Tamandua tetradactyla: one gene and its partners. The protein of the gene in region 3 interacts with the protein of the main gene of each other region in a pairwise test. Links are inferred from orthologs where the notes say so. Each region holds a gene or a part of one and is shown on either strand. Other genes may lie near its edges. The genes, in order: PARVG, HNRNPF, TLE5 and U2AF2.

Region 1 (7,073 bases), on a different chromosome or scaffold from region 3:
AAACTTTCTGTTTATTTCTCTGGTTTCCATGCTTGCTGTGGTAGACTGCCTGCCATAATCCTCTTCCTGTAGCTATTAGGTCATTCTTTCCCATACCAACTCTTAGACTGGCCATGTGATTTTCTTTGGCCAAGGGAACAATAGCAAATGTGAAACAAGCAGAGATTTGCAAAGTGCTTGTGTACTAGGGCTTGCCATCCCTTATTGTGCTGGAACCATTGTGTAAATGAGCCCAAGCTAGCCTATTGGAAATGTGAGGCCGCACAGTCAACAATCAGCCAGACCCTGATGGGCAGTTGCTGGACACATGAGGGAGTCCATTCTAGATAACTGGTTAGCAGCTGACCGTAGATGCATGAGAGAGCCCAGTAGAGATCACCCAAGTTGTTCCATATCAGAAGACTTGCCCAACCTGACCCACAGAATCATAGGCTAAATAAAACAATGGTCGTTTTATGCTACTAAGTTTTGGGATGACTTGTTATGCAGCAACCACGAACTGATACACCCACCTTGCTTCAGGTGAATGGGTACTGCCCTTGACCTTTACCACTCTGGATGACATCAATGCCGTTGCCATCAGGCAGCCCTTTTCAGCGTCAGCATCTTCCAACGTCATTCCTGAGCTCCAGTGCTTTTCAGTGAATCCTCCAAGACTTGGAAAGGGACTGTGCTTTGGCTTTTCTCATGGGACATGGTTAACATGACAGAGACACTCAAATGTCCTTCTACATTATACCAAGGTATGGCTGCCATCCTATTTTCATTCAATGCAGGCCACTGCTGATTCCATGTTCAGCAAATGATTCTAGAAAGCAATTTAGAATCCTGTCTAGCTACTCTTGCTAGTGTCCCTGAATCTAGACTCTCCAGTATGTGCATTTCTATTAATAACTGCATCTGGATCTAAAAATATATCACTTCTTTCCTGGCCCAGGACCATTATTATACATCCCCCATACATTTATTTGCTGATAAATGAGCATAGTTGTGCAATTTTTAAAAGTACATAAGCCCCCTCCTCTCAGGTTTGACTTTGTACTTATTCTCCCAGGACGGACTAGAATTGACTGCAATTATTGATATGGAGACAGTGTGGGGTACAGTGGTAGTGACAGTGAGGTCACTACGGCATTTCTTAGCAAGGAAATGTCTTTGCCATCAGACACAGGAAGTCAGGTTGCTGTGACTGCAAGGATTCTTTCTGGGGTTTGGGAAAGAATCAGACTATTTCAGTTCTTGGGGTCCCTCCCTTTCACTTCGGAAACATGGGGAGGCTGTGTTGGAATTCCCACCGGGCTCCCATGCTGTATCTGATTCCAGCTTGATCAGTCCTGCAGCTACAAGAGAAAGGAGATTCTTTGGAGGCAGTGCTATCTTAGGAATGCCCTCTTACTCTGAACATACCTTGAACCAGGAGTTTAAAACCCTGAGGATGTCTTATTCCTTTCTTTTTTTTTTTTTTTTATTTCTGGTGTGATGAGAAGGTGCCAGCTGACCCCACAATCCTTGAATAACGCAGGCTTATCATACTCTATAGAGAAGCCACAAGTCAGTCTGCCAAATCTGGGGCTTTAATAGGTGTTTAATTCTGGGTGATTACAGGTAATTGTTTTGCCGCTGTATATAGAACACTGTATGATCTACTATAATTTTGCTACCTAATGGTAATTACTGGATCCTCACTGTTTTTAAAGCAACCAGAACAAGTAACCCATCCCAGATTCCCATCCTTAAGGATATACTGCCTGCAAGTATTTCTGGTAACAAATCCTACATTGGTGGGGATTTGGTTGCAGATAACTGGAACTGTTTTAGTTGTTTAAACAGAAAGGACCTTAATGTGGGAAATGAGATGGTCACGGTGCCATTGGGGGCTGCAGGAGGGGCTGGGGCTGAGGCTGCAGGAACAGGTCGTCGAATGATCTGGCAGAGCTGGCCCTAGAAGGGGCCAAGAAGCTGCTGCACTGACCACCAGCTCCAGAATTATAACTTCTGGGCCAAATATCTTCCGTTTGCCTCCTCAGATCCACCGTTTCCTGTCCTGACCTCTGTGGACTGCATCAATGGGCTTTCTTGCTTCTGGCTTCCAGCTGGATTTGGCTAGCCAGAGTCCCTGGCCGGAGAGAGGAGTGTGGGAGGAGAGTGAGGCCGGGGAATTCCTTGTCTCTGCCTCTGCCCCACCAGGTCACCACGGGTTAGCCATGCCCCCCTATCAGAGGACCCAGCTCCCATCTGGTGGCCCCCTTCTTAGACCTTCACTAATTTCCTTTCGGGGTTTTGGTATTCACTCCTTCCTTTGCTTCTCACGGCTCTGAGTTGTAACAGCTCCCCTGTGTTGTGAGTTTTGGGGTGCAGTGCCATCACTTCTGGGTTCCTTTCACCCTCCCCAAACAATCCCTATATGAGCACTCTTCAATTACAGCTTTGAGTGAGCCGCCTCTTGTTTCCAGCACCCTGATTGATGCACCCAGGCTTTCCAAGCTGTCCCTGGAACCAGTGGCTCCAAAGCCATCTGCACCCTCTCTGCCCATACCAGCAAAACGGATGTCCCAAGCACATCTGCTTCTCTCCCTACCCTGGCACAAATCCCTGAGTCACACAGGTGCATCTGATGGTGGAGACAAAATCAGGTGTCTCAGTTTCTTTGTCTGTCATGTGGGAATGGTAACAGTACTGACCTTCCAGTTTAAAGGTCCAGCTTAAAATTAAAGTACTGAAAGGGCGCACGGGTGGTTCAGTGGTAGAATGCTTGCCTTCCATGTGGGAGATCCAGGTTCGATTCCTGGACCACACACCACCACCACCAAAATGAAAGCACTTAAAATAATTTGTTTCATAGCAAGCTACTTGATAAATATTGGCAATAACACCAGTAGTGATTTTTGACATTTTTAATAACTTCTCATACACAACCCCACCTTGCTCTCACACAACCTTGTTCCCTCCTGCTACCTAATCTGGCCCCTTCTTCTGACCGATCTGTCAGCAGAGTGCTTCCTGGTCACTCAGCACTATCACCTGTTGGTATGGAACTCATAATTTCGGTCTGATTCATGGAGATTTGTGCCCTCGTGACCAGCTCAGGTCTGAAGTGTTCTCTGTCTATCTTACTCTCCTGGTATCTGTCTTTCCTTAAGCTCCTCCAGGACTTTGCCCAGGCTCTTCTGTCTACCTCGAACGTGCTCACTCTTCTTCACCTGGCAAACTCCTATGTGGTCATCAAGGCCCACTCCGAAAAGCCCTCCTGATCCCCTAGGCAATAACAGCTGTCACTTTGTGTGGGGATTCCTCTAGGCGCTGGGACACAACAGTGAGCAAGTGAGATGTGGGCCCTGCCTTCATGGAGCATATGTTCTGATGGGGAAGATGGGTACTATATGTCAGCTAACTGAACTAGCTAAACTAACATAAACAGCACAGGTGTAAGTGCCATGAAGAGAACCTTCAGGAACTGTGGTAAAGGATCACAGGGAGGACCAACTTTAGATAAGGCAGTTTGGGAGGGCTTCCTGAAGGAGGAGGCATTTAAACTGATGCTAAGGACGTGCATCCAGCCATGCTAAGAGCTGGGGCAGGGGCATCTAGACAATGGGAGCAGGAAGGGAACTGGTACTTTCCAGGAACAGAAAAGAGATGGGCAGGGCTGGGAGGGTGTGAGGGTGGGAGAAGTTAGGAGGGGAGGGTGGAAATGAAGCCAGTGGGCCAAATTGGGGCTTATGGGCTAGAATGGGCCAATGGGGCTTTATTTTAAGTGCTTTGGCTATTGGTAGAGAAAATCTCCAAGTGGGAGATGCAGTGGTAAGCAGAGCTGGTGGCAGGGGGTCCTGTGTGGAGGTTTCCGCATGATCCAAGGGAGAGGGATAGGGGCCTGGGCTGGGTGGTGGAGAAGCATGCACTGGCCAGGATGTAAGGTGGCGCAGAATTTTCTGGAAGTCTGTGGTGGCATCCCTGTCGAAGCATCCTCTCCCCCAGTGTTGTGCCACACGGAGGAGGAAGCTCCCCAGGGCCAGCCCTGCAAAGCCACCCACAGGCCCCAGGAGGAAGTGAGCGGCCGCCCCGCCCCCTGGCCTGCCCGCCTCCTGCAGCCCCCGGGGTACCTGGGAACCCGGAACCTGCTTTCATTTGGAAACCCAGACCCTGGGACCACCATCTGAGCTACGGCAGCCAAGTCATTTCCTCTGGGGGAGGAAGCAGCCAAGTGAGTCCTGGCATCTGGGCCCCCCCGTGGGCATCCCCCACCTGCCGTGATGCTGGGTATCAGTGCTCCCTGGGGGAGGGTCCAAGACTCCAGGTGGAAACAGGCCAGAGAGCAGAGCAGCACCCCGAACCCCTGGTTCCCTCCCACCACCCCGAGCAGAGAGGCTGCTCACTCCTCCCCACCTCCCCACTGACGGACGAGGGACCCAACCCGACAGGTAGAAGGACACAGTCCTACCCCACGGCACAGCCAGGTGACCATTGTCCCACTCCACGATATTGTCTCTGAGTTTTCTGCAACTCGTGGGAAGAAAGGTCTCCCCGGTCTTCAGATAGAGACACTGGGGCCAGGAGCAGGGAAGGGATTGCACGGAACTGTGGTTGCTGGGCAGTCCCCAGCTCTGTTTCTACTCTGTGTCAGGACCAGAGAGGGGAGGGGGGTTATGCAAAGACACACAGCCAGGTTCCAGCTGGCCTGGAACCCAAACCCCTAAGCTCCAGGCCACAGCGCTGCTACTTCTCTGGTCATGTCCATCGAGCCAGAACCCTGGTGTCCAACAGGAGGCTTGAGGATTGAGGGGGCAGGGCTCAGCCTCAGCAGCCATGTTCTCCACACTCTTCCCTTCAGAGCAAGATGGAGCCATAGGTGGTCCCCAGGCCTCCAGGGGGCTGCAACTGCTGGAAGGAGGCTTTGACCCCCAGCTTCTGCTATGTGAACCTCCCTCCCCCAACTCTAAAGGCCTGTGTGGGCTTGTCATGCTGGGAAAGACCCAGCAGCTGAAGAGAAGGAGGGGGAGCAGAGCCTTCTGCAGAGCAGGCAAAACCACTCCCAGGAGAGGAAGTGGCAGGGGACAGGAAAGAGGTCTGGGGCTGGTTTCTGCATCTGCTGCGCTCCCCGGCATGGGGCAATCTCAGCACTCCCACGGTGAGGCTACAGAGAGGAACTGGGCCCACTCTGTAAGTGTCGGCTGTTCCCATCTGTTCCAAAAGACTGGGAATTCTACCCCCCACTTTAGAGACAAGGATTGAGAACCTCCTGCAGGAGACCCAGAACTGGGGGACCTGGCCAGGGCCTGGCCTCCCTCTGAGATCCCAGCCTGCATGGGTGGTGGGTGATGACTACTCACCAGAGGCTGCAATGGCCCCTGCACGGGCCAGTCTGGGCTCAGGGGCCAGAGTGACCCTTCCCAGTCCCTGCTCCCAGGAGCTCACAATCTGGCCGATGCCGTGGATCAGTGTTTTCATCTCAGCCAGCCCTGCATAAGCTGGCCCCAGATTTCTCCCTTGAGCTCAGCCCAAGGGTTTTCTGAATCCTGGGCTCTGAGGAGTGGGCTGACTGCCTGGGATGGGTATAGGAGGGTGAGTTTCTGGGCAGTGCAGTTGCTGCAGGAGAATGCTGGACAAGGGCAGCTTTGTACCCACTGGGTGGTGGGGGAGGGTAGTGCATTTCCCTGCTAAGCCTTTGCTCAGGCTGCCCCCTGCCCCAGCCTGCCTGCCTTTCTCTACCGGGTCATGCTACACGGTTCGGCTCAGTGCCTCCTTCTCACCAGGCAGCCCTGGTCCCTTGCCTGGGTGAGCCCAGTGACTTATCACCCCTCTCTGTGTGTCTCTAGATTTGGAGCAAATAAGCAAACAGTGTGAGTTGGGGTTTCTGGGACAATGATACCTTCTGTCCCCTGCATCCTCCAGGGCAGGCAAGGAGGAGATGGAACCAGACCCCCTCTACCACCTGCTGCAGCTCCCTAAAGGTGTGGCTCCGCCAGCAGAGAAGGAACTCCTACAAGGTGCGGTGCCCAGGCTGGGCCACGGGGCAGGGTCAGCGTCCCAATAGCCAAACAGACCTCTTGGAATAACTGCCTTCCCAGTAGTCTGCTGAACACACACACCTGTTCACCCCCTGCCTACTCCTCTTGCTTCATACTTCGCCAGCTTCCCTGACTCCAGAACCTTCCGTGGTTATCTCCACGTCTCTCCTAAGCTCACATCCCCGGCTTAGGGGTGGTGCTGGAGCTGCTGCTGAGAATAGCTGAATCGTTCAGCATGCCTACTTGTATGCAGCAGATCATGGGGGTGACAAGGGGTGTTGATATCACCATCCTTTTACAGATGAGGAAACTGAGCCACTGAGAGTAATATCCAAGGAGTGTGGCTCCAGGATTCAGGTCCCACCACTACCGTGTGGTATTGACTTCCCGAGACAGCTGGCATCTTGCAGCGGTGGTGGGTCCATCAGTCTCCTCCCTTTGCAAGTGAGGGTCTCTTTAAAAGTGGAGTGGGCATAGGGTCGGAGCAATTCAATGAATGGGGGCTGCTCTTTCAGCGAATTTCTGTTTTACGAGCTCGTTCAGGGAGTTTGTGGTCACTGCCGTTGGAATTGCTCTCCTGAGAGATGATTCAGAACAAGTAAAGGGTCAAGAACCCAAAGCTGTTGATCATGTTGTCATAATCTAGAAACAAACATGCAACTGCACAACCAGATCAGAAGCAATGCAAATGGCCCAGTGGGGAGGAGGGTGTTGAAATGAACTCACTAGAATTTTAAGCAACCATTCAAGCAATATGTCGATGAAGAAAAAGTGTAAAATAATTTTAAGTGAAAATAGCAGAATGCAAAATTATCCATGTCCTCTGAATGTAGCCCTTTTCAACCGGCTTTGTGGGCTCAGAACCCCAGTGCCAAGTGGGGCTCCCGGGAGCGGTGGGTGAAAGCTCCCTCTGTGAGTGGAGAAGCAGGGCAAAGTCCACGATGGGCTGGGTTCCCGCCTGCTTATACGTGGTTTAAGATTGGAAAGCATTGCAAGGAAGGTTGCTGAGTTAAAGTGCTAGGCTTAGTTATTTGAACAATGTTCTTTTCTGTATTTTATAGTTGATTT
Region 2 (7,559 bases), on a different chromosome or scaffold from region 3:
CTCAACAGCATGCTTTTCACATGCTATTTAAGAGCGTTTCCTAGCCTGAAGCCATGCAAACATTTTCTTAACGAATGTTTTGTTTTTACATTTAGATCTATAATCAAATGGAATTGGTTAGAATTGTTTATTCAATTTTAAGGCTAATTTCAACCATGAACCCAGATGCAAAAATCCTAAACATTAGCAAACCAAATCCTACAACACAAAAAGCCATAATATATCATAATCAACCAGGATTTATTCCAAGAATGCAAGTGCAGCTGATTATCTAAAAATTAACTGCTTATTTCTCAATAAAAATACTTAAGTCGATTGCTGCAATTTGTCACATTTAACAGATTAACGGAGACAAAATGATTTAACTAAATTTTTTCATGTTTATGAGAACTGCATAAAGACACTTAACCTCATAAAAAATCAATGAAAAATTTTAAAAACGAGATAGATTTATCACATTAGCAAAAATACAGAAGTTTCACAACATATCTTAATGGCAAGGTGGCCCTGTCTGGATTCCACCTCTTATCAACTAGTTGTTTATTTGCTATATTGTACAATCAGGGACATCTCAACACTCATATGTGATATCAAGTAGTTATTAGTAAGGTGTGGGAGTGGTATTATGGGTTGTTTTACGAGTCGTTAAAAATAGAAACTGAAATATTTATGACTAAACGACCCCTCTCATTTCCACAGCCCCTCCAGGCACTAACCCAGATCTCCACGGTGCTGCCACATCCTATGATTATTTGCTACCCTTATAAAAATTCGCATTTTTACCTACATATTTTTAAAAGAAAGCTTTGCAACACTATAATTAAGTGAAAAGGAGAGCCGCTTACCAGTTTAAAAGAATAACCAAAAATAAAGTCATTAACAAACCAATCATAACTAAAAAGGAAAGCATAACATGTAAATGATAAAGCTAAACAGTTTACAAAATGCGTACGGGACCATTAAGACCTCAAAGGCGAAGGATAGACTTCCTTCACGCCCGTCTGTAATGCAACAATCTCTCACAATATTAAGAGTAGAAATTCATGGATGCCTTAGATTGGATATTTCTATAGCCTTCCTTTAATTTGGACGCTTTCATGTCCTTAGAACATGCAAACTTGCAACTTAACAAATTCCCCTTCTTAAAGGCCAAAAAAAAAAAAAGTAGAAACTCATTTTACTTTAAAATGAAAATATCTTGGTATGCAGAAATTAAGAATGAAAGCAAACTTCTAATAGGAACTCAGATACAGTTTACTTTTATAAAACTGTCCCAAAAGTAGTCTTACCGAGTTGGCTACGACGCCCCGCGGCCTCCCAACCCTCCAGTACGCAGCCCGCCCGGACACGTGGCCGCCCGGCGGTTGCCTCCCGCCATGGCGGGCTGACGACCCCGGCCGGAAGCGCGTCCTGCACCCTCGTGGTGCCGGGCGAGCACGTTGCTGCGCCAGGCGGCCGCGAGGCACGCTCCGAGGAAGCCCTCCGCCCTGGGCGCCCCCGCGGGGAGGCCACGAGACACGCATCCCCCACCCCACCGCGGACGCACGCGGGCTCCCAGCGCGCCGGGGACCCGGGCCCTTCCGGAGCCCCCAATTTAAGCCGCGGACTTCAAGGAGGAAGAATCCGTCAATTCCCACCCGGACCCTCCGAGGGCGGAAATCTAGGCCAGAACCCCTCAGGAGGGAGGGGGCGACTGCGTGGGGCCGCCCCGGCCGCCATCCGAGGTCGCACTCTCCGCGACTGTAACCCCCAAGCCGCTCTGACCCCAGCCGTCACTCCCTGGGCGGCACTGTCCCAGGATTATAACTCCCGGGTCGCCACCTCCGGGCCGCTATGAACCCGGCGGTCCCTCCCACACTGTTCTGACCCCGGGCCCGGAACTTTTCTAGAGAAGGAACGAGTAAAAACCGACCCAGAACCACCAGCAAGGAAACGGAAAGGAGAGGTAACCAGAGCCCCGGGAGACCGCCCGGCAGCAATGGGGTCACGAGGCACAGCATTACACGAACAAACGATTTCCGTCCCCAGTCCCTCAAACACGGTACCTCTGGAGCAGCGGACACCGCACGACGGGGACGCTCGGGCTAAACTGCCAGGGGAGGCAGACCTCGAGGGAGCAGGGCGAGGGAGGGCCCTGGGGCGCGGGAGGTCGGCGGTCCCTTCTCTGCACACCAGGCCCAGGCACTCAGCTACGCCAGGAGCCCGAGCCCACGACCGAAGGAGCCGGCTGGCGCGACGCTGAGAAGGGCTGAGGCCGGCGCGCTTCCTTCCGGGTGCGCGCCCCGCCCGACCTGAGCGCGGCCTGCAGGCCCGCCTCTTCCCCCGCCCGGCTCCGCAGGCCCCACCCCCGGTCCCCAGGCCCCGCCGGCCCCCAGCTGGCGGCCCTCGCCCTCACGCTCCGCCTCCCACTGGGCCCCAGCCCCGCAGGCCCCACCCTACTCCTCGCAGACCCCGCTCGGCCCCGGGCTTGCGGCCCTCGGCCGCCCCTCACCGCGGGCTCCGAGTCTCCACGCTCCCGCTCTTCACGTCCGCACCGAGAGGAGGCTGGAACGTGCTGGACTTGGCAGTTGTAGCCGAGGCAGTTGAGGCTTGTTTATCGTCACCATGGAAACCCCCCCACCTGGCAGCGCGCCCGGGGCGGGGCCTCTGAGGGGCGGGGCCTTCGGGCGGCGCGCGCGTCCCCAACTCCCGCCCGCCGAGCGCGGCCGGCGCTTCCGGAAAGTCCTCCTCTGCTCGGCGTCCCGGTCCAGCTCGGCCTGCTCGGCGCAGCGTCAACTTACGCCCCTGGGAGCAGCAGCCCCGCCCTGCCACACCCCTGCCCTGCTGCCGAGTGCCCGTGTGACGGCAGGTCGGCGCCCCTTCTCGAGCCTCACCTGCTTCTCCTGTGAGACGCGGCGCAGTCCTACTTCTTCCCAGGAGCCGGAAGGCCGAAGACCACGACGGGGCGGATCCCGGGGCGGGGCCTAGATGGTTGGACCTGGAGGCGGGGCCGCGAGGGCGCTATTGTGACGCAGCGGAGGCCGGGCCCGGGATTGGTCAGCACGGCTTGAGGCGGTGCCTAAGCCGGCAACGAGCGGCAGGACCCGGGGCTCTTGCCCAATGGCATGACGACGATCCTTGGCTCCGCCCTGGCCTAGAGCCCCCACCGCCAGCGACGCGAACCCCCCTGCTCTTCAGCCGCGGGGCCTCTTGGGAGCTGCTTGGTCGCGGCGCCTTCTGGGAGTTGCGCGGGCGCGGGGAGCTGGGCCTAGCGTGGGGGGAAGGGCGCGGCGGGAAGAGACCCCGTGACCCCGCCTCAGCCTTGTGAGCAAAGGCCCGGAATCTCGGCTAAAAGCCAACCGAGTGCTCCCGCGGGCTTGCGAGGAGGTAGTGGGTCGTTTTCGGATGAGAAGGAAATGGAGGAAAGAGACCCTTTAGCCCGAGGTTTTTGGAACGTGTAGTCAGGTTGACGCACGTTGGCCGCTTCCTCGTCACGCGGGCCGAGAGGCGCCAAAGCCTCAGGACGTGACTCAGAAGGGCCTTGCGGGGCTCCAGCGCCGGGTCCCTGAGCGGATGCACGGCGGCCTTTGGCCTCGGTGTCTGTTGTTTCAGGGCTCGTAAGCATTGCCGGGTTTTGTTTACCTCCTCGTAAGGTACCGAGGCGCTTGTGGCAGGTTAGACAGGAGAGTATCAGAGTCCGAACACAAGCCGTGCTCGGAGTCGTCAGTGCATGGGGCGCCCCTTCATGAAGAAAGCGGTTTGTCAAAAGAGGCCGCTTCCAGGGAAGAGGAGAAGTAGGAGCTGTCGGGGGGCGCAGACGTGCAAGGAGAGAATGTAGTAAATTGAGGCAAAATTACAGAAAACAGGTCTTCCAAAAACCAGGTATTCCTAAGAATCCCACACCTTATTTTCCAGAGAAGTCTCTATCTGGAAAGGTGGATGTTTAAACTGTCCAGAAACATCGCTGCGTTCGGCACTGCGAGGCCTCGCCCGGGGAGGTTTGGCCCCGCGCTCCCCGCGGGGTGTGGGCGTCGGCCCTCCCTGCGGTCTGAGGCCACCCTGAGTCTGACCCCGTAGTCTCAGGGCTTCCCGAGGTGGAGGGCCGGGTCCTTGGCCTGTTCACCACTTCCGCCTGGCCCTAGGGAGCCGTCCCAGGTGTTCACTAGTGTGCCTTTTCAGAGCGGAGCGTCGCACAGGTGCCCCCGAGGCCCAGGAGGGCCTTCCTCCTCCTCCGGGGTGGGGGCGGGGCCTTCCTCCTCCGGGGGTGGGGGTGGGGTGGGGGCGGGGCCTTCCTCCTCCGGGGTGGGGTGGGGGCGGGGCCTTCCTCCTCCGGGGGTGGGGGTGGGGTGGGGGCGGGGCCTTCCTCCTCCGGGGGTGGGGGTGGGGGCGGGGCCTTCCTCCTCCTCCTCCGGGGTGGGGGCGGGGCCTTCCTCCTCCCGGGGTGGGGGTGGGGCCTTCCTCCTCCCCGGGGGTGGGGGTGGGGTGGAGGCGGGGCCTTCCGCCTCCGGGGGTGGGGGCGGGGCCTTCCTCCTCCGGGGGTGGGGGGTCAGGCCCTGCGGCAGAGCCTTCCCACCGTGTCCAGGCTGGTCGCGTCCAGTCATCCTGGACCACCTCCGTTGCTGTGGGAATCGAGCAGGCTGCTGACCTGTCTTCACTTCTGGTCCTGGTGGGCTGTGTGCTCAGAGGTGTCTCCCCTAAGCTCTGGGATCTGAAGAGGGACCTGTTTTTGGTTCTGGAGAGTCCCTGCCCAGAGATGGACCTGTAAGACCTTTGCTTTAAGAACAATTCACCACAAATGTGTGCACAGGTATGTGATGACACGGTGAGCCCTACATTGTACACTGTGTTTGGACTGTGTGAAAATTTGTCAATAAAAATATTCTGTAAAAACTCACCACATATGTATAAATTTTTTTGTTTTTGTTTTATTTCTTTTTCTGAATAGATGCAAAAGTTCCAAGAAGTGATCATAATGATGAATATGCAACTATGTGATGAATTTGTGAATTAGTGATTATATATGTAGAACGAAATGATCAAAATAGGAATGTTTGCATTTGTTATGTGTTTTTTGGTATTTAAAAAAAATTAAAAAGAATTAAAAAAAAAAGACTTCACCACAAACGTAGATTATGCCAAGGTATATTCTCTTACAGATTGGTCCTTCTGTCTACATTTATATCATTTTGTTTTTGTAAATAGATCAGTATGTTAAATTTAATACTTTTCAATGTGTTTTATTTTATTTATTTTTTTTGAGTTTTTAAAAATAAGTTCCTTTTGCCAGGACCCGGCATCAAGGGATTGAGAAGGCTTTCTTGAGCAAAAGAAAGGAAGAGAGAAATGAAACTAAAGTGACTGAGAGTTTTCGAACACAGTCAAGAGGTTAGCCTGGAGGTTATTGCATATTGTGTAGATATCCCTTTTTAGTTTATAGTGGAATGAAGTGGCTGGAGGAAATACGTGAAACTGTTGAACTGTGTTCTGGTAGCCTTGATTCTTGAAGACAGTTTATAACGATACAGGTTTTACAATGTGATGTGTGATTGTGAAAATCTTGCTCCTTTTATCCAGGGTGTGGACAGATGAGTAAAAAAATATGGATACAAAATAAATAATAGGGGGGATAAGGGGTCAATAAGAGGGAGGGGTTTGGTATGTATGAGTTTTTTCTTTTTATTTCTTTTTCTGGAGTGATGCAGATGTTCTAAAACTGATCATGGTGGTGAATACACAACTATGTGATGAACTCGTAAGCCATTGATTGTACACCATATATGGACTATGTATGTGAAGATTTCTCAAAAATATATTTTTTAAAAATTAAAAATAAGCTGCTCCTGATTCTGAAGCACTGGCCAAGTCTGGAATCAACTTACCCATAACAAATGGTGCAGAGGTTTGGAGAGTATGGTGTCTTATAGTTTTCAAGCACTTGAAAAATCGCTTTACTCATTAAGCTTTGAGCCCCTTCCCTAGAACAGTGCTAATAGGTAGGGAGGAATCACCAAGGCTCAGAGAAGTCATTTGCTCAAAATCACAGTATCTGTTAAATAGCAATCATGACAATAGCTAACATATTTTGCACCTTCTCTGTAAATGAACTATGTAAATAGTTCATCTCATTTGAGTCTTACACCAACCAAGCGTAGATATTATTATCAGCATTCCTAGTCACTGGAGGAAAACTGAGGTAGAGTCGTTCCAGTCATTTGCCTTAGGTCTTTCAGCTTGTAGGTGGTAGTTCTGGGCATCGAATGAGGCAGTTTGGTTTCAAGGTCTGCTCTTAACTGCTGCATTCTAGATCCGAGGAGAACTAGGTCTTTAAGGGTGGCTCCCAACCCCCTTCTCTGCTTCTCTTTCCCATCCAAGAGGAGAGAGTGTAGGAAGTGAGAAAACAAATTGAACAGTCCAGCCACAGTATAGGCCCTGTCTGTCCAAATGTAGCATTTTCCTTGAGACAAGGTGGTTTATTAGGCAGAGGAGGGAAAAGACCAGAGGTGAACCTAAGACGCTTTGGGGGGAAATGTAACCTGTGGAACTGGCAATTGTAATCCATTTTCAGGGTTTTGCCTCAATTCAGCACTTTTTTCCCAGCTCAGAAGCAGGCAGATACAGCAGTCAGTCTTATCTGGTTAGTTTTCTTGACCCTTACAGAAAAAAGGGACTTCTGAAGGAGCGCATGTGCCCATACAGGGAGTCAGCATGAAGGCGGAGCAGCACATTAACATATCTTAAATAGTGGAAAAGGGGTAATGGCATTTCCTAAGCTTGATGGTTGGTTATTTATGTGAATCACTTTCTTTGGTCGGCAACAGACTGCAGGTAGACTGGGTAGGGGTGGGGGGGTGGAATGCCTGTCTTCCTCTGCCCACTTCCCCAACTGGCCGGGCTGGCTACTGCAGCCCTAACAGGTACATTAGGGAGCCAAGTTCTGGCTCTGTGTCCACGCTGAGGCATAAGTTTTCCCACTAAGAACTACATACAGTGCAGTGCTTCCACCTCTGCTGGGTGAGGAGGCCCAGGACAGTTAGAAAACTTCATTCTGTTCAAGATGTGTTAGTGGGCCCTGGGGTGGGGAGGAGAAAGTAGCTTGCAGGTTCTTATTCCCTCTCTGCTTCTGTCTCTCTTGCAGTAACTTCAAATTTTAAAAAATTATGAAATGCTTAAACACATGGGAAATTAGTAATAATATTGTAACAAATGTAAGATATTGACGTTTTGCCATATTTTATTGTTTTGGAACCAAAAAAAAATTGCAGATGAATCAGTGCTCTTCACTGCTTCAACTCTTTAAAAAGCACTTACTGTAATACAATTATACCACTTTAAAAGTCTTTTTATTTTGGCACCATATATACAGCATAACATTTCCCTTTTTAACCACCTTCAAGTGTACAGTTCAGCGGTGTTAAATTCCTTTACAATGTGCTACCATCACTACCATTCATTACCAAATCTCTTCCGTCACCCCCACAGAAACTCTTCACCTATGAAGCAAGAACCCCCTATTTCCCGCCCCCTGCCCCTGGTCCCCTTTACTCTGTCTTCTGCCTCTATGAATTTGCATATTCTAGTTA
Region 3 (7,469 bases):
GCCTGGCATACAGTAGGTGCTCAATAAATGCTTACCAAGGGATTCAATGAATAATAGCTCCACGATGGGGCTGAGGATGAGGGGAATGCGCCGGGTGGTAAACTCATACTGCCTGGGGTCACCTGGCCAGGTAGCAGCAGACAGGGGTCAGAGTTGGGGGGACTTGAACCCAAAGCCGACAGCTGAGGTCCAGGCCCCCACCAGGTCCTTCCTGGGCCTCATGCCACCTGTTTGCTCCCACCTCTGACTGATGACCACATAGCTCCCTCCATCCATCACAGCGGGAAAGATGGTCCCAGAGGGTGGGAGACAGCAGACAGAAGCCATGCCCACCCCCTCCCACCCCCTCCTTGGCCCTGGACCTGATGCTAAGAGCCCCAGAGGTGGACATGTGGGGGTGGGGAAGCAGGCCTGCCACCTAGGGCACTGTCCTCTCCCAAAGCCCCCAAATCACACAATCGAATCTATTTCCCCCTTAAAGAGCTTCGGCTTTGAGTGATGACAACATTTTCCTCAAGGAAGGTGGTGGTGGCAGCACCCCACTGTAAAAGAAACTGATGCCACTGAATTGGACACTTAACAACGGTTCCAGTGGCACATTTCACGTATTATAGGCGGTTCCACAATTAAAAAAAAAAAAATGACTCCCTCCAAGGTTTCAGCTTTTTACCCTTTCTCTTTCCCTCCAGGCCCATGTGGATTTTTTTGTGGTCCCCAAAATTCCTCCTTATTCTGGGCTCAGCCCAGGCCTGTCTTTTTTCCAGCCTTGGTCTCCTGGCCTCCTGCCTTCCCTTCCTCTGTTCAGGCCGCCAGCTGGAACCTTCTACACCTAGTCTGGATCAAGTCGGAACCTTCTACACCCAGCCTGGGTCAAGTCTCCCAGCTGCTGTAACTCAGTGGTTCTCAACTGGGGTGATATTATCTCCCCCAGGGGACACTTAACGAGATCTGGAGATATTTTTGGTGGTCAGGACTGGGGATGGGGATGCCCCCGGCATCTGGCAGATGGACGCCAGGGAGGCTTGCTCAACACCCTAAAAGGCCCAGGACGCTCCCCACCCCAGCTAAGAATGATCCTGCCCCAAATGTCAGCAGGGCAGAGGCTGAGGCCCCTGCTCTAAAACCCCCCATGGCTCTCCAGTACCCTCAGAGTAAAATTCCAGTTCCTTAGCCCAGGATGCGGGGCCCTGTGTGGCCCCTGACCCTCTCCAGCCAGTTTTCCCACCCACCCTGACCTGTTTTCCTGCCTCTCCCTCCCTCTGAAGGGCAGGATTTTGTAGTAGCCAAGGGCTCAAGCACCTGGGTTTAAATCCCGGCCTTGCCATCTACCAGCTGTGTGACTTTAGCCAAGTTATTTAACCTCTCTGTGCCTTGGTTTTCCCGTTTCTAAAATGGGCATGACAGCAATAACTAAGACTTAAAGGGCTTAAGAAAAAGTCTGGAATGAGCTGGGACTCAGCATCAAGGGATTGTGAAAACCTTGACCAAAAGAGGGAAGAGAGAAATGAGACAAAATAAAGTGTCAATGGCTGAGAGAGGTCATCCTGGAGGTTATTCTTACGCATTATATAGAAATCACCTTTTTAGTTAAGGTGTAATGGAGAGGCTGGAGGGAACTGCCTGAAAATGTAGAGCTGTGTTCCAGTAGCCATGTCTCTTGAAGATGATTGTATAATGATATAGCTTTCACAGTGTGACTGTGTGATTGTGAAAACCTTGTGTCTAATGCTCCTTTTATCTACCTTATCAACAGATGAGTAAAACATAAGGAATAAAAATAAAAATAAATAATAGGGGGAACAAATTGTTGAAATAAATTTAATTTAGAAGATTGAAATGCTAGTGATCAATGAAAGGGAGGGGTAAGGGGTATGGTGTGTATGAATTTTTTTCTTTTTTTTAATTTCTTTTTCTGAATTATGCAAATGTTCTAAGAAATCATCATGATGATGAATATGCAAATATGTGACGATATTGTGAGTTATTGATTATATATCAAGAATGGAATGATCGTATGGTAAGAATGTTTGTGTTTATATGTTGTTGTGTTTAAAAAATAAATTAATTAATTAAATAAAAAAGAAGAAAGCATCTGGAGCATAGTAAAACCATGTAAGTTGGGTGGTTTATTATTACTTATAGTTTGGGCCACACTTCTTGACTTATCTACACACTGGAAACTCCTTCTTCTGAAAATGACTTCCCCTTTCAAAGGCAAAACCTGGGGTCCTTCTCTGTGGCCTAGCCCCAACCCCCTGGGACTCGGGGTGTCTGTATTGGGTTCTGCCTTCCCCCGACGATGGGGGTGTTGCCTCTGTGAGGCTCAGATCCAGGGGACACCCAGAAGAAAGAGCATCTGGTTGCCATGGTGAGGGGGTGGGGACAGGAATTGGGGCAAGGCTGATTTCATGGGCCCCGAAGGGCCTCCAGTCTGGTTTACCTCCCCAATACTGCCATCTGGGTATTCTAAATACTTTTTCAAGAAGGGGACCTGTAATTTTCATTTTGCCCTAGGGGAGGCCCCCCACAAATTCCGTAGCCAAGTCTGGTTCAGGGGTTCCGTTCACTCTGTGGGTTCCGCTGATTCCAGAAACTGACAAGAATATCAAGGAACTTTACTAAAGTCTGTTTTTTTGCTTAGTGTCAGGACCGAGGACAGCTTTGCATTTGCCCAATATGCCTGGTCCTCTCATCCTAATCCTGGCCCTTTTCAGATTCTGTCTTTATGCATGATGTTGACATCTTGTTCATCTTGCGTGGATTTTTATTTTAAAAAATACCACATTAAAATATCTTTTATCTTACACGCGCACAATGGAATATTATTGTACCTTAAAAAGGAGCGCAGCTCTGATAGGTGCTATAAAGTGCGTGAACCTCGACGTCACGTTGAGTGAAAGAAGCCAGGCACAAAAGGACAAATATCATATGATCCCACTGATAGGAAATTATTTGAATATGCAAATTGCTAGAGTCAGAAATTAGAATACCCGTCTACCATGGGGTGGGAAATGGGGAGTTCATGGGGAAGGCATGGAAAAGTTTTTGAGGGGATGACGCAGCACATTATGAAGATAACACCACCGAACTGTATACTTGAAAGCGGTTGAAACAGGAGATGTTATGTTGTATTTCCATTAGCACGATAATATTTTTTTAAATAAGCACAAGAAAAAGGAACATGTATGTGCATTATCTGAACAGCTTCAGTGAGGAGACTCTCAAAACCAGGGACAGCTACCCCCTCCCCCTCCCAGGGAGCCCACTTCCCTGAGTACAAGCCTAATAATTCCTCCCCATAACCCATAAAGTCTTGCAAACGTGCTCATCACCTCCTTGTAGGGACCAGCTACATAATTTGCACATCCGAATGCAAAAGGAAGCTGCAAGGCTTTTGTTCAAAAATTATGAAGAATGTCAAGAGGCCAGGGCAGAACATAAAACCTCCCTACCCTAGTCTCTTCCTCCATTCTCCCAGCGCCAGGCCCCATCCTGCCTCAGGGCCTTTGCACTGGCTGTAACAGTTCTCTGAATCTGCTCCTCCCAGCATATCCCCATACCCCTATGGGCTCCCAGCCTCTCCTTCTTCAGGTTTGCGAGTCCCTCTCTGATCTCCCCCTATTTAAACTGTGCCCTCTCATTGCCATCTGCACCCAAGAATTTGACCAGTGTATTTGTTCTTTGTGCGCCTGTGTCACCTCCCCTCCGTGGCCTTGGCACACAGTAGGCGCTCAATAAACGCCTGCCACAGTTACCACCGACTGCTCTGACAACGACGAAGAAACTGAGGCCCACAGAGGTTGGCCGCTGGGCCAAGGTCATCGAGTCCAGGTCACGCCATTGTGGTGCCCGTGGCTAGGAGGCTGGCAGTCCGGCCCTTTCTTTGACAGGTGGGGAAACCGAGGCGCAGCAGGCGTGAGGAGCATCCCACCCCCCACCCCCAACCCCTCACCCCGGCCCGGCTGGCTGGGAGCCCAGGGCGGTGGACGCGCCGTGTCCAAGGTCACCGTGCCGGGCCGGCCCCGGGGAGGGCGGGCTGGGGGGGGGTGGGGGGGAAGTGGTGGGGTGGGGGGGAGAGGCAGGCGGGGGTGGGGATCCGCAGGCCTCCCCGGGCGCGCGCTCCCCCCCCTTCGGCGGCGCGCACGGGGCACGGGAAGCAGCAGCAGCAGCAGCAGCAGCAGCAGCAGCAGCAGCAGGTGGAGCCGGAGCCTCCGCAGCGCCGAGGCCGCGGCCGCTGCCGGCGTCGCCGCCATTAGACAATAGGAGCGGAGGCCGCGAGTGCGGGGCGGGGCGGGAGGGAGCCCGGCGCGCAGGAAGCGGGGCCCGGGGCGCGCCGGGGCCGGGCGCGCGGGGAGGGGGCGCAGGAAGCGGGCGAGGCCGGGCGCGGGAGGCGGCGGCGGCGGCGGCGGCGGCCCCGGGAGCTGCCGATCGGCGCCGGGACAAAGGCGCGGCCGCCCGGCGCCCGGAGCCGCCCGAGCCGGGGGCGCACAGCCGGGGCGCATTGCGCGCCCCCCCGCCGCGACTGACATGATGTTTCCACAAAGCAGGCATTCGGTAAGCGGGGCCCGCTCGGCCCGGCTCCCCCTTCCCCCCACCTCCATGCCTGCTCCGGGGCCCGGTTCCCTTCGGCGCTCTAGCCCTCCACCCCCCACCCCACCCCACCATCAGCTCCGGGGCCCCGCACCCCCCACCGAGCCAGGCCTTGGCCTCGGGCGCTCCGGGAGCCCCGTCGGCACCCGTGGCGCTGGAGATCGTTTTGGGGCCTGCGGGGTGGGGGGGCGGGGTGGGGGGGGGCGGGAAGGGCGAACCAAGGGGCACCCCTCCCGGAAGAACGCCGCCTCGGGAAGGGCAATGGAGCTCTGGAGTGGGTGTCCCCCCACCCCCGCCCCGGAAGATTCGGGCGCTGGGAGAGGCCCTTCCTGTAAGGAGACTTTGCAGGGAGGCCTCTCCCCCCCACCCCCCCCCAGTTCTAGCTCGAGGAGGGGACTTTCTAGGACGCGTCCTTTACCTCCCCCTCCACCAGGGGCGGTTAGGGCGCTCGGATGTGCATCCCCGCTCCCCCCCCTCCCTCCACTCCCGGGGAGCTTTGGAGGAGCTGTAGAGGGCGCACCCTGCCCCCACCAAGGGCGGGCCTTAAAACGCACCCCCACAATCGGGGGTGGCGGGGGACTAGGCGGCTGCGGGCGCACCCTACCCCTCGGCTTCCCCCGGGAGAGGCGGGGGCAGGAAGCGGGGGCAGGGGCCGCGCTGGGGGCTGTAAACACGGGCCCAGGAAGTGGGGCAGGAGCGGGGGTGGGGGCGGTTGGAGGGCGGAGGGGGCGCGCTGCAGCTGCGGCAATCGCCGCCTCCCGGCCGGCCCGCGCGGAATTGGAAGGGAGGGTGGCCGGGCCCCCTCCTGGCGGTGAACCGGGCGGCCCCCTCCCCGCAGGGCTCTTCGCACCTACCCCAGCAACTCAAATTCACCACTTCGGACTCCTGCGACCGCATCAAAGATGAGTTCCAGCTGCTGCAGGCCCAGTACCACAGGTGAGCCGCGGGCAGGGGTCCCAGGCTCTGGGTCGAGGGCGGGGGTGGGGGTGGGGGTGGAAATGTGTCTGAATCCTACTCCCCTCCCTTGTACGGAGGGCAAGAAGGAGGCCTGGAGCCGAGATCTTGGCCTCTGTTAATAGACTTATGCAAACAATGCAATCATAGTGGCTCTCATTACAGCCACCCCATTCCTACCAAGTCCTGAGTACCTTACCGATATTGATATTAATTCGTATATTTTTAAAAACTGCCTCATCTCACGGATAAGAAAAATAAGGCACGAAAAAAGTTAAAAGATATGCCTGGCCTTGCAGCTGTCTGGCTTCAGAGCCCCAATTCCACCATCCCTAATGGATAAAAGACCTCTGAACAACTGAAGTTCCGGGATAGAACCCCCTGCCCCAGTCCCCCTAAAATGCTCTCTGCCAAGATTTGGGGAGAGGGTTCCTGGTTTCCAGCAGATTCTCAAAGCTGAGTCTGTGGCCCGAATTTCATCTAACATTTCTAAAAGGCCTGCCATGTGTCAGGTCTAAGTGGATGGAGCTTTTCCTTTCTTCCCATTAGGCTTAGGAAAAATTAAACCCAGAGAGGTTAGGGGATTCCTCCAGGATGCACAGCAAGCACGAAGAAGTAGTGAAGCTGAGATTTTGAACCCAGTCTAAGAAAGCAAATTCTCAACCTCTCTGCCCTGGTGGGTGGGGACTGGTCTGGGAATCAGGAGTTCCATGGTCACAGAGCCCAGTAAGACCCTGGGCCATCTCTGGGACTTAGTTTATGCACTCATAAAAGTGATCTTTGAAAGATCCTGGATTTTTTCTAGGAAAAAGTGGGAAGGCCGATTTTTTTTAGTGCAAATATCCACCCTTTTGGGGTTGTCCCGTATGCTAAGCACTGAACATGTTCCCTCTTGTTTAGTCCACCCCACTGTGTTGCATGCTGTCCATTATAAAGATAGGGAAACTGAGGCATAGAGGGTTGAAAGCATTGGAGGGTGTGGGGGCTTTGCCTGGTAGACCTGGACATTCTGGGTCCAAAGGGGGGCAGTTTCTCCCGCCACCCTAGCCCATGCCCACCTCACCCTGAGTACCCCAGGTATAGTCCCAGTACTGTCACCTCAGGCCCGCTGGACCCCCTTCTAAGCTTTTGCATCTCCTGCTAGGCCTGGGTGACCCATGAGGGGCTTTCCCTTTTCGGGGGCACATACAGGACCTGCCAAGCAGGACCAGCCCAGTTTCACCAGATTGTCTGGCCGGTTCATCAAGAATGGCCGGAAGTCCTGAGAGTGGGGATGAAATTGCCTGAGTTGTTTTGCTTTTGTGGTTTTTTTTTTTTTTTCTGGCAACAATTGCACACTTTTAAAAGAAACTCAGAGAAAACCAACTTTAGCGGGGGCCAAAGAAACTCCAACCTTGGGCATGTTCACATCGCGGGCCATGTCACGGTGTAAAATACCGGTGTCCCGAGGTGGTGAGAAGATGAAGCTGCGTTAATTGAGCGCTTACTGTGTGCCAGGCACTGTTCAAAGAGGTCTCCTCGTCTTAATTCACTTTAATCCTGCAAACCATCTTGGGAGGTCGGTACTTTGCAGATGAGTAAATGGAGGCTCAGTGAGGGAGGAAAATTTGTCCAGGGTCACACTGCAAGGAATTGGCAGGGTGAGTTTTGAACCCGGGCCCTGTGGCTGGGGAGCCTGTGCTTTGAACCACTCTCTGTCTCTTGTACAACCAGGGGTGACAAAGGTAGACCCTGCATACCCCTTGCTGGATCAGATTTAATGGAGTAAAGGAAAGAGGCTCGCCACCCCCTCCCCCCCCACCCCACCCCTGGGCCTTTTCTCAGCTGATTGACATCATTGCTAACTCTCTCCTTCCTGCTCCGAGGCCCTTGTGGGGGAAATACCCACAGCTTATCTTTGCTGGGGGAGCCAGAGAGAGGCAAGA
Region 4 (7,083 bases), on a different chromosome or scaffold from region 3:
GCAAACCCAGACATTTCGCGTTCCAGCCCCTCTTCCCTCCACGCGCCCGAGTCCAGGAGTTCCCATTTCAGTCCTCGAGAGTCCGGGCCCCCCCCCCGCCCCCCCAGGGTGGACCCTGCGAGCCCATCCTCGCCCCTCTACCCATGGCTGCCGTTTCTGTGCAGTGCCCCTGAGGCGCTCCGCTGCCCGGGTCTGCCCCCAGCCGCGCCATGAGTGATCGGAACAGCCGGAGGAGGACAAGTGAGGAACTGGGGCCCCCTCCCGACCCTTGGTCCCAAGGCCCACCCTTCCCCCCAGGGTAGTGCGGTTGGGGGCTGGACCGCAGATTTCCCTGGGTGACCCCGGCTTCTCCTCTCAGTGAAGAAGGACGATGAAGCCTTGGAGATCTCCATCCCCTTCGACGAGACGCCCCACCTAGACCCGCAGATCTTCTACAGGCTGAGCCCATCTCGAGGAAACTTCGAGGGTGAGCTAGGGCCGGGCGCGCAGGGCCTCGAGCCGGTGGCACACCAGGCCGAGAGGCCTGGGGTGTGATGCCGCCGCCCCGTGTTCCCAGAGCCTCCGGAGGCGGCGTCCCCCACCCTGGCCCGGATGCACGGAGTCAAGGCCCAGCTGCACTTGGCCCTGGAGAGGAACTCGTGGCTGCAGAAGCGCATCGAGGACCTGGAGGAAGAGAGGGACTTCCTGCGATGCCAGCTGGACAAGTTCATCTCCTCAGCCCGCATGGATGCAGGTGGGCAGGGGGCTGTGACCAGGGAAGCTCCACTGAATCGGACCCCTCTGCCACCCACCCTCCTCAGGGATAGAGGCGTGAAGCCCCCCTCCTGGGTTGGGTGCATCATGTCTCCTGGTAGCCAAAGCTCTCCAACCCTGTTTGCCCTGGCGGCCCTTTCCACTGTTCCAAGTCTCCTATCCCTGTCAGCCCCCGCAAATCTTGCCCACCCTGACTTCTGTGCCCTCAGGCACTCCTCTGCTGGGGTTCCCTGGGCACTTCCACTTCGCAAAGACCTGGAGTCCAGACCTCCAGCGTCTTCCCATGCCCAGCTTGATGGTCCCGACTGTCCCCTCCCCTTGGCTAATTAAAGCTCCTTTCCTACTAAAGACCCTAGATCCCTTCCTGGCCTACTCACCCTTCCCTAGTGGAGCCTCAGGTCTTACTTGACGTGTGTGTGTGTGTCAGCATCTGTTATCCCTCCAGACCCTGCCCAGCTTCTCAGCACACCCCCTTCTGTTGCCTGGTTCTATTTCATAGCCAGGAGCTCTGGGGTGAGCTCCTAGAGCTGGCCCACCCCGCAGCTGGCCCTCCCTGAGGCTGAGCCCCCTGGCTGCCTGTCTTCTCGTGGGCCAGGTCCTCTGGTGTCCTTGGGTCACCAGCTCCTACTGTCCTCAGGAACAGCTGAGGGTATCCCAGCTAGTGCAGCCCAAGGGTGTCGGACTTTCTCTGGGGACCCCGGCTGGCTCCCTGTCTTAAAAGCAGTGGCCTTTCCTAGCCAGTCAGACACAGGGGCCTGTGATTGCCAAGGCCTTGCCTGCCCCAGGGGCTCCACTCTTCTGGAGGGACTGCTAGGGTCCCCAGAAGACCCCCTCTCTACTATGGGAACCACCTGTGGCCACAGCCCTGCCTTGTCAGGTAGTCCTTACCCAGAGGCCTCGGACACCCGAACTCTTCCCCTCGCAAGCCTCTTGCAGTTGTCCACTGAGGCACTGGCCAGCTTTAGGGGCCCTGCTGAGCCTCTACAGCCCGGGTGCCTTGGAGATGATGCTGGCCCTTGCAGGAGACCCTCATTTCGGGAAGTCCAGCCTCTTCCCTTCCTGGGACCCAGAGTTTCCCACGGGAAAGGTGGCGAGGCCTCGTGCCTTCTCTTCCCTCCCCCTCCCGCAGCTCACGTGTCTCCCTCCTCCTGTCCTCCCAGAGGACCACTGCAGGGGGAAGCCGGGGCCCCGGCGGGCTGAGGGCGAGGCGTCCGAGCCCGAGTCCGCGGGCTCGTCGCTGAGCGCAGGGTCTGAGGAAGGCAGCTCCAGCGAGAGGAAGAGGCAGAGGCAGAGGGGAGGTGCCACTCGGAGGCGGTTCGGGAAGCCCAAAGCTCGGGAGAGACAGCGAGGTAGGTGGGGCTGGGGTGGGGCCGTGGGCACCTGCACAGTGACCTTCGCAGAGGCCCTTCCCGGCAGGCCGCCGTGTCCCCCCCGTGAAGAGATCAGTCCTGGGGTACCTGCCAGCTTTGACGGCTTGTCATGACGGAGCCGAGAGCTGGGGGGAGGCTCTGCTCTGCTCTCTTCCTCCGCACTCCGGAGCCTTCCTTCTTCAGTTCCCCATGGTTCCACTTCGGTGTCTTGTCTCCTTCTCCTCTAATTCTTCCATCTTTTTATCCTCCTGCTTTCCATCTTGTTCACCTGCCCTTTCCTGTATGGGGCCCCTCGTCCCTGCTTCTCCCCTCCTGGATCCTCCTTCTCTGACTTCGTTCCTTTCTTCTGCACGCACCCTTCACGCCCCCCGCCTTTCTCCACCGCATCTCGGAACCCCGTCTGCACCTGTGTACCTCTATGTCTCCGGCCCCTACAGCTCTGACTCTCTGCCCCCCGCCCCCGCAGTGAAAGACGCCGACGGTGTCCTCTGCCGCTACAAGAAGATCCTGGGCACCTTCCAGAAGCTGAAGAGCATGTCGCGGGCCTTCGAACACCACCGTGTGGACCGCAACACCGTGGCGCTGACCACGCCCATCGCCGAGCTGCTCATCGTGGCGCCCGAGAAGCTGGCCGAGGTGGGCGAGTTCGACCCCTCCAAGGAGCGGCTGCTCGAGTACTCCCGCCGCTGCTTCCTGGCCCTGGACGACGAGACGCTCAAGAAGGTGCAAGCGCTAAAGAAGAGCAAGCTGCTGCTTCCCATCACCTACCGCTTCAAGCGGTGATGCCCCCGCTCAGCCTGGCCGGGTTCCACACGGCTACTCTCGCAGCCCCTCCAGCCCTGTCCCCTCCTCCAGCCTCCCCAGCACCCGGGCCGCGACGGGAGAGGCGCACCTCTCTCCTCCGCCTCTGCAGCCCCTCCCGCCCCAGGTGCTCGCGTACACAGGTCTTCCCCTCCTAGCACCCGCCTTTCTCTCTTTCTCTGGGCTGGGGTCTCACTCAGCCAGACTCTGAAGAGCTTACTGCCCAGAGGGCTTGTTTCTGCCCTTCCCTAAGCACTGGTGTCCCTCTCCAAAAAGAAAGTCTTTGCACTTGCGCTGCACTCATCCTGCCCTCGCCGGGCACCTTTCCTCCTGGGAAAACTGGGAGGCGCGCTCTGGGAGTGCCACCTTCTCTCCTAGCGTCTGGAGGGCCTGTATGTACCCGTCTCCACCCCCATCCGCGAGAGAGGCTGGCCGGACCCCTCCCCGGCCGGGAGCTCCCTACGCATCTTCCGGACCACCCTAATTCCCTGTGAGAAAGAGAATTATTCAGAGAATTTAAATTAAAGAGAGACGACAAAATTTGGAATAAACCAGGCCCTAGCCTCTTCCTAAGAGGGGGTGGCTGTTGCCACGGAAACGCTGACGGGGGCTCAGGGGGTTCCAGGGAGCGGGCGGTCGGGCGGGAAACGGGGAGATGCGGGAAGACAGGCTGTAATTAGACCCCCGGAGGCAGAGGCGGGAGGGGAAGGAGCAGCTGTGCCCCCAGGAACTCCGAGGGGGCAGAGCTCCGGAGAACAGGCGTGAACCCTAGCCTCCGTGCCATTTGGAAGTAGAGGCGCCGCGGCAGGAGGCGGGACGCAATGACCTCTAGTCCAAGAGGCCACCGGGGACTAGGGACTCTTTGGGAGGACGCTTCCGCACGCCCGCAAGGCGGCGATAGCGCCAGGTTAGCCTTCTCCCGGAAGTGGGCGCTTCGCTGCCTCCTGCGCCTGCGCACCCGGGATGGAGCGCGCTTACGCAGTTGCTAGGGCAACCAGGGGAAAGCGGCCGGGCTTAACGGTTGGGAATTGGGGACCTTTTCGCGCACCCGCGCAGAAGGTTCTAGGCATCCGTCTCCCTACCCAGGCAGAGAAAATCTCGCCTCCGACCGACCTCTACGCAGGCGCACAAACCGAACTCGCGCCCCGCCCCTTCCGCCCCGCGCAGGCGCAAAAAACCGCGCTGACAACTCCGCAGCGGCCGCGCGCACCCTTCATCTCGCTGCCTGCTTTTGTCTCGCGCAACCTTTTCGGCCCATCCGCGAGATCGTTCCTTCTTTTCTTCTGTTCTCCCCACCCGGAGAGCCAGGTGTGGAGAAGTGGGATTCCGCCCCTTATCGCGTCCTTTCCCTTGACCCACCTCTCCTCCGTCCTCCCTCCCTGATCAGTTTCCGAAGCTGGAAGGAGCCGAAGCGCCGACGGAAAAAGCCGAAGCTGTTCATCGCCAGTGAGGTCTTCCCGAAACGGCCGCGGAAGGAGCCGAAATTCTCCGAGAAGGGAGGAGGGTGCGAGTGGAATTTCCGGAAAGAGCCGAAGCTTGGAATTGCGCGTAATCGCTGGCGGAGCCCGAAGACGAGCGCCGGGAACCTTCGGAAAGTGCCGAAGTCTGGGACGGTTAGGATTGTCGGAAGTAGCCGATTCTTTCCAGAGGGCAGGCGCAGACCGGGGGTATCTGCGGAAGGAACCAAAGATTGGGACAGTTTGAATTGTCGCAAGAAGCCGAACCCTTAGAGGAGGCTGAGAGTGGAGGAACGTGAGGTCCTACGGAAAGACCCGAACGTTGAAGACCTAATCTCAAAAGTTACGGGAGCCTGGGAAGCCGGCAAAGCCCTCGCTTCGGGGGTTTTCGGAGGCAGCCGAAGCCGCCACTTTCCGACCCCTTCCTCTGCTGTCCGGAAACAGCCGACGCATTTCCGAGCGAGGCTTAGGGGGCGGGGCAGTTCGCGGGTTGGCGGGCGGGGACAAGGGCGGAGCCGGGGCGGGGCGGGGCGGGGTTCCGGGTGCTTGATTAGGTAGGAGACAGCGAAGCGCCGGCGGTGGCCGGAAGTAGCCGAAGCAAGCGGCGGAAGTAGCCGAAGCGGGCGGGCAGCAAGGCGAGGCGAGAGCAGCACAGGCCCCGACGCGGCCGCCTCAGCATGTCGGACTTCGATGAGTTCGAGCGGCAGCTCAACGAGAATAAGCAAGGTGAGGGCGTTGGGGTCATGGGGCGACGGTCGGGGCGGCTCTCCACTTCCCTCCCTGGCCCCCGCCATTTTCTCCCTCCTTCCCCACCTCCTCCGAGTGCCGCGCGGTAACCCCCCCCCCCGCCTCCGCTCAGCGGCGCGCGCCTCGCCCACGTGACCTTTCTCTACGTTCCGCCGCGCGCGCGGCGAGACGAGGGGCGGCGGGCGCGGACCCGTGACGCATGCGCGCCGCTGCGTCTATTCCCTCGCCCCACGTGGCCCTGGGCGGAGGCAGTGCGAGGGACTGGGGCGCAAGCTAGCGAAGTGTCTTGAAGCGACTACTCTTTCCCGTAAAGGAGTTGATATTAGGGCCCGTAATCTCTTCTTTTTCTTCCCGCTGCCCTAGCACTTCCGCTTCCGGTTGGGTCCGCTTCTCAGTCTCCACGCCCCCTTTGTTTCCAAAATGGCGTCTGTGCGCTCTTCCCCCCCCCCCTTCACGTGGGCCCTATGCGTTAGGCCCTTCGCCCGGCTGCGTGGAGGCCGCGCGGCTCTGTCTCACTCCTTTTGCATGATTTCTGGTTAAATTTGCCTGTCAGGGTGTTTTTACCCTCCTCCCGCCATTGGTCGTGGGGCGCTTATTTGACCCCTGCTCCTTCGTGTAAGTACCCCTCTCGCAAGTACATTTACACACGTGGGGACTTCTGGCAGTTCTGGCAGTACCAACATGGAGTGTTTATCTTCCATCCTTTCCCCACTTGAGAGAAGCCCCAAATCCTGTTGTGCCCCTACGCTAAGAGTACCCAGCCTCGGCCTCTTGTATCTTAGCACAGAGGTAAGGAGACAGGTTCTGGGTAAGAGTGACCTGGCCTAGGTGGGTAGAATTGGGAAGGGTGGGACAAAGGTGCCCTTCAGGTGGCGCCGAGGCTTGTGACGGTTAGAACAAAGTACGGGGCTGTGCTGGTGCTGGTGCTGGTCAGGTTAGGAAATTCAAGTATATTAGACTTTGGGGGAGTTGGTAGGTGACTTCTTGTACTTCCTGTCTCCCTAGTTTGGTTTAAGATTGAAGACTTAGGGAAGACTGAGGTTTTGGTTCTCTTGGTGCTTGAGGCTTGAGTTGCCCATGTCTCTAGTTGGAGCCTTTTCTCCTTCAGTTCTTCAGAGGACTGGACTGTATGAGGGTTCAGGAATTCTCGTTTGAGCCTAGGCTGGACTTGGATGGGTGATGGCTGGGTTAGGATCTAGTGCCTGGGGAAGGGAATAACGTTTACTGAGTATTCACGGTATTTATATTTCATACTGCTTAAAAGTACAGGCTGTGGAGTTAAGTACACACCTGGGTTCAAATACGTGCTTGGCTGTTTAGTAGCTGTGCTACTTTAATACTTTTGTACTTGACTGACCATCGTCATTCTACTGTCATAGGGACTTCGAGAACATTAATACGAGTGGTAGTAATAATAGTTGTGGTTAAACTCAGTGCTTACCATGTGCCACACACTTTTTTAACGCTCTTTGTATGGTTCTTCTAAGTGCATCCTTGTAAGGGCTCTGTGAAGCAGAGATTTCCTTCCTTTTGTAGAGGATATGGAGGCTCAGAAAACTTAGACTTTACCAGATCTTAGGTGGTCAAAGATGGCTGAGATTAAACGGGTTAACATAGGTAGTTTGGTGTGTGCCTTGGCATATGCTAAGTGCCCAATGGATGACATTTGTTATTGTGAAATCATGGCCAGCACAAGCTTCTACTTAGGCAGATCTCAGCCTACTCCGGGATTGGGTCAGAGGTGGAGAAGCACGGGGAAAGGTGCTTTCCAAATGCTATCCGGCCAAGTCCTGACCCTTCCTCAAGAAGTGCAGACTAGGTCTTTCCGCTGTGTGCTTCTGTGTGGTTGGTGAGCAGAAAACGTGATGTGATGTTGAGCTCTGACTGGCTACAGGGCCATGTATCCATTCTGCTGTGCATGACCGTGAAGTGGTGCTGCCTGAGTTGTTCCTTGA

What was found.
Region 1: the proteins of TLE5 (region 3) and PARVG interact in binary tests that used the Homo sapiens proteins (3 or more experiments, as listed by UniProt). The two-hybrid records come from large-scale screens. The link is inferred for Tamandua tetradactyla from reciprocal best matches to the Homo sapiens genes TLE5 and PARVG.
Region 2: the proteins of TLE5 (region 3) and HNRNPF interact in binary tests that used the Homo sapiens proteins (3 or more experiments, as listed by UniProt). The two-hybrid records come from large-scale screens. The link is inferred for Tamandua tetradactyla from reciprocal best matches to the Homo sapiens genes TLE5 and HNRNPF.
Region 4: the proteins of TLE5 (region 3) and U2AF2 interact in binary tests that used the Homo sapiens proteins (3 or more experiments, as listed by UniProt). The two-hybrid records come from large-scale screens. The link is inferred for Tamandua tetradactyla from reciprocal best matches to the Homo sapiens genes TLE5 and U2AF2.

The regions. Positions count from the first base shown.
Region 1 is NC_135333.1:38,397,558-38,404,630, forward strand, and holds the start of PARVG (gamma-parvin), read left to right. Parts: upstream 1-4,071; 5' UTR 4,072-4,201; intron 4,202-4,910; exon of another isoform or gene 4,911-5,157; intron 5,158-5,889; 5' UTR 5,890-5,905; coding exon 5,906-5,984; intron 5,985-7,073. UniProt on the Homo sapiens protein: Plays a role with ILK in promoting the cell adhesion and spreading of leukocytes.
Region 2 is NC_135339.1:2,957,329-2,964,887, forward strand, and holds the start of HNRNPF (heterogeneous nuclear ribonucleoprotein F), read right to left. Parts: upstream 3,007-7,559; 5' UTR 2,874-3,006; intron 2,625-2,873; exon of another isoform or gene 2,492-2,624; intron 2,262-2,491; exon of another isoform or gene 2,046-2,261; intron 1-2,045.
Region 3 is NC_135337.1:79,362,992-79,370,460, forward strand, and holds the start of TLE5 (TLE family member 5), read left to right. Parts: upstream 1-4,457; 5' UTR 4,458-4,527; coding exon 4,528-4,554; intron 4,555-5,428; coding exon 5,429-5,526; intron 5,527-7,469. UniProt on the Homo sapiens protein: Transcriptional corepressor. Acts as a dominant repressor towards other family members. Inhibits NF-kappa-B-regulated gene expression. May be required for the initiation and maintenance of the differentiated state.
Region 4 is NC_135342.1:4,094,998-4,102,080, reverse strand, and holds the start of U2AF2 (splicing factor U2AF 65 kDa subunit), read left to right. Parts: upstream 1-4,082; 5' UTR 4,083-5,058; coding exon 5,059-5,107; intron 5,108-7,083. Other genes in the region: CCDC106 (coiled-coil domain-containing protein 106), read left to right, coding at 210-240, 359-466, 557-733, 1,914-2,102, 2,590-2,906. UniProt on the Homo sapiens protein: Plays a role in pre-mRNA splicing and 3'-end processing. By recruiting PRPF19 and the PRP19C/Prp19 complex/NTC/Nineteen complex to the RNA polymerase II C-terminal domain (CTD), and thereby pre-mRNA, may couple transcription to splicing.